Linked DNA regions of Danio rerio. The protein of the gene in region 2 purifies or fractionates together with the protein of the main gene of each other region. This does not show direct contact. Links are inferred from orthologs where the notes say so. Each region holds a gene or a part of one and is shown on either strand. Other genes may lie near its edges. The genes, in order: fastkd5 and mapk4.

Evidence for each region.
Region 1: the proteins of mapk4 (region 2) and fastkd5 purify together in Homo sapiens (affinity purification with mass spectrometry; 3 studies listed by BioGRID and IntAct, with this or other methods). This does not show direct contact. The link is inferred for Danio rerio from reciprocal best matches to the Homo sapiens genes MAPK4 and FASTKD5.

What each region holds. Positions count from the first base shown.
Region 1 is NC_133180.1:1,990,936-1,994,588, reverse strand, and holds part of fastkd5 (FAST kinase domain-containing protein 5, mitochondrial), read right to left. Parts: intron 260-3,653; coding exon 1-259. UniProt on the Homo sapiens protein: Plays an important role in the processing of non-canonical mitochondrial mRNA precursors.
Region 2 is NC_133183.1:31,836,651-31,840,488, forward strand, and holds part of mapk4 (mitogen-activated protein kinase 4), read left to right. Parts: intron 1-2,877; coding exon 2,878-3,022; intron 3,023-3,838. UniProt on the Homo sapiens protein: Atypical MAPK protein. Phosphorylates microtubule-associated protein 2 (MAP2) and MAPKAPK5.

The DNA.
Region 1 (3,653 bases), on a different chromosome or scaffold from region 2:
GAATTGAGGGGAGACTACCGGGAATTTTTTTGCCAGTTTTTAAGTAGCTGAAATGAGAGGAACGTGACGTTCGTGTCTGGTAATACGATGAATGTTTGCACAACAGCAAGCTTTCGCGTTCTTCTCTCTTTTGCTCTCCATTGTCCACATGTGATGACAAACGCTGGGTTTTAAGAAAGGAAAGGCGCTGTACGTGAGCACAAAGACGTCGCTTTGCCACGTTATGAAGTAGCACATTCGCAGACATCAGCAGCAGATACTGGAAGGGATCATAAAAAAAGTGACATGATGATTGACAGTATGCAAATGTTGTAATATTACCTACAGTTGAAGACAAAAAAAATTAATGCTTTACGAATATTTTCCAAGTGATGTTTCACAGATGATTTTTAACAGAAAAAATTGTATAACTACATTCTAATAGCTCATTTGTTTTGTCCACCGTGATTCTTATTAATTATTAACGATGACAGTAATCTTAGAGCTTGATCAAAAAACAAATTTGATTAATTGATGTAAAAATAAAGTTGTAAACGTAAATCACTGGAGTTTGTATTACCGAAAAAACAACACTATTTTAAAGTTTTTACATTAAATGTAGTTTCACAAACTAATTTCGAGAGGAGCACGTGATATGATTGACTGAAGCTGGCCACTCATCTACACTCATTGACTAGCCAATTGGATTGATCCAAACTCACTATAAGTAACCTAGCTAAGATCTACTTATCTTCGTTTTCCGAAGAAACCCCCCATCCACCCCTTCTCCTCCTTTCCTCTTTTGCCGAGGGGAGCTCTCGAGAACACCTGACCTCGTACTCCCCTCACATGCTTTATGGACCTGGCGGGAGCCCTGGGCTCAACTATCTCCGAGCTCAGGGTTCTCTTCCGGGACAGCATGACAAACCTGCTAACTTGCTAACAAGTTGTCAAACAGTATCTAAGTGTGAATTCTTGAAATTTCATTAATTTGCAGTGACGCTACTAGCTAAACTACATTCATCAGTAGCGTGGCACCAGCATCGCTACTTGCTAAATCAAATAGCTTTCCAGGAGCAAAGGATAGCTTTCCAGAATCTATTATTTTAAGCAAGTAGCGTCCACACAAGCTACATTTACCAATCAGGAATCATTAAGCGACGCCACTGCCGTTCAGAGCTGTAAAGCCAGTGTCTGGCCGTTAAAGGTAAATCCATATGATAGCAAGAATCGCAAATTCTTCATGTTTTATGGTGGTCGAAAACAAACTTGGTGAGCTACTGCCACCTCTCACTCATCATCAGGCAGACAGGAAAAACTTGCTAGATGGAAAGATGACTGTAGAGGAATTAATTCTGAATCAGGACCATACATCGAAGTCTTGAAGTTAATTCTGATGCTGTACTCTTGTTAGAGTTGAATTGGTTTTAAATCTACTCAATGTTTGTTCTGCAAATGTGCCCAAGTGCATTTACATTAAAATACTGTAAATACTTCAATATTTAAAAGTGGTTTTGAACAGTACTATAGGGAAGTAATTGAACTAATTTGCTTTATAGTTGCAATACAACATCTACAGTATTGTATATAGTACAACTATAGTAATGTTGTATCTTAAATGTGCAACACCTGGTTTCTTGAATTTTTTGTTTTTGATGTCTACAAAAATGTGTTTGTGTTTGGAACAGCATAAGAATTACTGTTAATAACTGAACTGAACAGTTATGCCACACAGGGCAGGAGTGGGACTGCTTTTTAGCTCTAGAGTTTCAAGCCTTAGACCGGCCCACCTCAGTCGACGACTGACTATATTAAAATAACGTTATTTCCAATTCAGTTTCTAATGACACTAACACGTCTTTTTCAAGGACACAGCTGCATGAGAACTTCAAATGTTTTTCATAAATATGAGAACATTAATTCTTTATAGATATCCAGTCCTTTGTAACTGTTAGAGCCATATTTATTATGCAAATTGTAAAATATTATGTATAGTTATCGTTATTTGTTTATTGCATTTATACTTTCTACAATCAAAATATTATTTAAATTATTATTGCATGCTTTAATTATGCCTTTGCTTATTTATGACTGATCATGTCATATCCTTGATGTAAAGAGAGAAAGAGACGGAGTGATATCGTTTTTGACCGTCGTTCTATATTGTATCGTTATATAAAGAAAAAGATTGTTCCTGCTTTGAAGAACAAATAAATACAAGAAAAGAATATAACGACTTGGATGAGTTCGTCGCGTCAGACTGGTTACTTAAAAGGATCATATTTCCAGCTTGGATAATGGAGTGCCATTATAGTAACGGTCGTCACACACGCACGCACGCACGCACGCACGCACAAAAAAAAATGTACCCCTACATAAGTAACACACTCAGTATTATATGTCTTAACACTAAAAATGAAAAAAATAAAATAAAATAAATAAATTATCCTGGTGAGGTGCGAACTCGGATCGGCGACGTTGTAACGCAAGGTGCTAACCACTAGACCCAGTTGGCGCTGTTAAGGTGATGAGTTCGGGATAAAAAATAAGTATTGCACTGTTATCTGCTGCTATTGATGTCTAATCTTTTTCTCCCCTTTTTAGATTTCTGATCTAGTTATGGCAGATTTATTAATGTAGTGAATCATCAGATTTTCATTGAGCAGGTGTATTATTCATTAATATTAATTAATATTCACTAAGTGTGTTTGGGGTGGAATGACATGACATGTGGAGTTCCACAAGAGTCTATACTTGGACCTATTTTATTTTCTTTATATATATTTTACCTTTAGGATCTATTTTTTGTAAATATGTTGTGGCTTTTCATTTTTATGCTGACGACACTCAGATTTATGTCACTTTAAAAAGTAGGGATTAAAAGGGGTTTGACTCCCTTATGAGATGTCTAGTCGAGGTCAAGAGCTGGCTTTCGTCAAAGTTTTTAAATTTCAATGGAGAAAAAACTGAGCTGGTCTGGTTTGGCGATCCTAACCCTCTGCATTTATCAGGTTTTGGTGAGCTTTCCACTTTCCACTTGTTAGAAACTCAGGATTTTAATTCGACAGTGATCTGAAATTTAACAAACAAGTAAATACAGTTGTTAAATCCAGTTTTTTCCATTTACGACTGGTGTCAAAAGTAAAGTCGTTTCTCTCTTTTAATGACCTTGAGAAGGTGATCCATGCTTTTATTTTGGGAAGACTTGACTATTGCAATTCCCTGTATGTGGGTATTAGTCAAAACGCCCTAAACAGAGTGCAATTAGTATAAAATGTGGCTGCAGGGACTCGTAAGTTCGAGCACATATCCCCAGTTCTTTCCTCTCTGGGCTGGCTGCCTGTTTGGTCACGGATTGATTTTAAACTATCAATCTTTGTTTTTAAATCCTTAAACAATCTGGCACCATCTTACTTATCAGACTTGCTACATGTATACAATCCTGGTAGGTCACTGAGCTCTTCTGATGAATTTATTCTATCTATACCAAGGTCCCGGTGTAAGCGAAGTGGGGATCGGGCTTTTGCTGTTGTCGTCCCAAAACTCTGGAACGGGCTTCCACCCCACATCAGACATGCTCCAACTCTACCTGTTTTTTAAAAGCGTCTGAAACACCATCTTTGTTCTTTAGTATTTGAGCCTTTTTAATGTTGAGGGGTTTGCCTTATGTTTTA
Region 2 (3,838 bases):
AAAATATATTTGAAAAAAAAAATCAAAAAATGTATACGTTTTTGGCTTGAAAAAAAATCCTCAAAGTCAGTCCATCTCAGTGCAAGTTACTTTGAAAACCAACCAACACTTACCAAGATGCCTGAAAGAAAAATAATTTGATTAATATTATTTCTCAATTTCAGTCTTTGGCGGTGTTGTTTCCTGTGAGCAGTTTGAAAGGTCTCCATGAATCAGCGTCATCGAGAAGACAAAGGCTCTTTGTTTGAGCAGGACATGTAAATATCATTGTCGCTTGTGTCACCGTCAGCCTTCAGATCCGCCCTGCTAAAATCTCACAAATAATTCATCACCTGAGCCCGAGGGGAGAGTGGGAGGTGAGAAAGCAGGGGATGAAAGAAGGAGACTGTAGGAAGAGGGTTACGGAGAGTCAGAGAGCTACTGTACATCAGCTGTTTCTTTATCACACTTCACACACAAGCCGAGTCACATGCTGCATTCATAACACCCTACTCTAAGTAAGATTTATGGATAAAACTTTGCAATAAGGTTTCTATTAGTTAATGTTAGGTAATGCATTACTAAAAAAACATTTATTACAGTATTGCGTTAAATTCATGTATATTTTTATAGCGCTTTTGCAATGTAGATTCTGTCAAAGCAGCTTTACATAAAAGTTCTAGTAAATTGAAACAGTGTCAGTCCAGTTTTCAGAGTTGAATCTCAGTTTAGTTCAGTGCGGTTTAATTTTCATTTCTGAAAGTCCAAACATCTGATCTAAGAGCAAACCCATCAATGTGCAGCTCCCAAAACCAAGCAAGCCAGTGGCGAGGAACAAAACTTCACTATTTGACAAAAGGGAAGGAAAAATTCCTAGAGAGAAACCAGGCTCAGTTGGGCACGACCATTTCTCCTCTGACTTATTCAACTTAGTTATTGTTAGTTAATACAGTGCATTAACTAATGTTAACATACATTACTTCACATTTTAATAATACATTTTGAACAATGATTAATAAATGCTGTGCAGGTTTTGTTTATTCTTAGAGCATGTTAATAGAGTAACTAATGATACCTTATTGTAAAGGGCGACCAATTTATGTCAAACTACACCTTCTTCTTCTTCTTCTTTGGCCTTAGTCCCGTATGGTTGCGGGGTCGGCTTTTTGGAACAAGCCATTTTAGACCTGTCCATATGATAACGTCTTGTTTTTACACATTCCGGCCGGCCTGTCGTCTGGGCCTGTCACCCTCATACACTCATACACTATGGACAATTTAGCCTACCCAATTCACCTGCAGCATGTCTTTGGACTGTGGGGTAAACCCACACGAACGCACAGAAAACATGCAAAATCCTCACACTGAGCAGAGGTTCGAACCAGCGACCTTCTTGCTGTGAGGCGACAGCACTACCTACTGCGCCACTGCTTGGCCTTATGTCAAACTACACCATTTGTTTGAAATTAATTAATTAATTCATTTTTCCTTTGACTTAGTCACTCATCAAGGGTTACCACAGCAGAATGATCCGCCAACTATTATGGCATATGTTTCATGCATCAGATGCCCTTCCAGCCACAATCCAGTTTTGGGAAACCCCCCCCACTCTCTCCCTCTCACACACACACACACACACACACACACACACACACACACACACACACACACACACACACACACACACACACACACACACATGTGTGTACTTTTAGTCAAAAAATTATTACTTTTTCAAATAAACCGCTTTCTTTTGAAGCTTCTGTTAATCAAAGGATGTTATAAAATGCATCTCTGCCACCATAGAAAAATAAGTCCAATGAAGACCAAATCAGATTTATTTGTTTTTAGAATCTCATTTTATAGTTGTGTTCGAGTAAAATGTCATTTTCGTTTTATTTTGTAAACTACTGATGACAGTTTTTCAAAAATTTAAATAACAAAAACTGATAATTTAGAGCATTTTTGTGCATCAAATTTTGTGTGTTAGTCTTTAGACAACACAATACAATTGTTTTTTACTTCAGAAGCGTCCTTATGTAAGAATTCACAATGTTTCATTTCATTTATTTCAGCAAAATACTGAGTGCAGGATTGACAGAAGACATACATTCATACATTTTTCTTCAGCTTAGTCCCTTTATTCATCAGGGGTTGCCACAGCGAAATGAACCGCCAACTTATCCAGCATTATGTTTTACACAGCAGATCTCCTTCCAGCTGCAACCCATTTCTGGGAAAAACTCATTCACTCACATACAACACAGCCAATTTAGGTTATTCAATTCACCTATACCACAGAATTGCCAACTGACCCAGTTGGGACTCGAACCAGCGACCTTCCTTCTGTGAAGCGACAGTGCTAACCACTGAGCTGCCATGTTGCCCACAGACGACATGCACTAAAATGCAAATCAGGCATGATAAGTAAAAGAATCAAAATCCTAAAAAATAGTTTTATTCATAACATTTTAGCTTCTTACTTTGCCACCATCCTTCATACCACCAAAGATTTGACCTTTTTTCATCAAGAAGTTTTTAATTCTTTAAAGTGTACCCGAATATAGTAAACACTTATTCATTCATATATTTTAATACAGGGCAGAATAAGTGGCATATATTGTTTCATTCTTACAGGTCAGGATGACGATGGAACATTATTTCACAAATAGTTTGACATTTAATGTTCTCAAAAGTGTTTTTCCAAGTGTACGCTACTTTCTTTTTGGCATCTCTACTTTGACCAGAAGGCCTATACCGAGTACATTCATTTGCTATTCAGAGTAACCTGCTGAACAAATATCTTTTTTTTCAGCCAGACAACCTTCGAAAATATATCAATCGTTTTTACTGTCGTGTGTAAATATATATTAACCACATTTATTGTTTCCCGCACAGGGTTACCTGTCAGAGGGGATGGTCACTAAATGGTACCGTTCGCCCAGACTGCTGCTGTCTCCAAATAACTACACAAAAGCGATCGACATGTGGGCCGCAGGATGTATTCTGGCCGAGATGCTCACTGGACGAATGCTGTTCGCAGGTGAGGACAAAACACTTTCTGCTGCTGTCCTGTTAACCTTGTGGTTCAACAGAAACGTCAATCTTCATTATCTGGAGTCTCAGAGCGGCCTCTAGTGGCTGAATGTTGAAATAGATATTTAGACCTGATGTGTCAATTCATCAGTTTCACAGTTCTGCACTGCATCGGTAACATTGTAAATAAATGAAGCATTTTGTGTAAAAGATGTTGCAAATGTCTTTTTTTTTTGTTATTTCAGTTACAATATAGGAAAAATGCATGACTAGGGTTCCAATAATTTGAGTAAATACAAATAGCAATAAAAAACGCTGCTGTTTTAAATATGCTTATAGTTTGTGTTTATATGATATTTTTAATGATGTATACATTAAACGTATATATAAAATATTTACAGGTCTACATTATATTATCAACACATTTCATTTTGGCTTTAAAATTGTTTTTAAATTGGAATGATTGCTGTAAAACATTACTTTAAAAAAGAGAAATGTCTTAATTATTAAAAAAATAAATTAAATAAATAAAAAAAATTAAAAACACTACAAAACAATGTGATGCTAAGTTTACTTCTTTCCCCCCATACTTTAATATCATATTTCAAGTTGTTTGTGTACAGCTGTAATTCTTTCTTTCTTCTTATGTTTTTCCCCCCAAATTGATGCTTTGCCAATATTGAATGTATATAAATCATAAATCATTTGAACGTAACAATATTTATTTATATATATATATATATATATATATATATATATATATATATATATATATATATATATATATATATATATATATATATTATAATTTTATACAAAAATA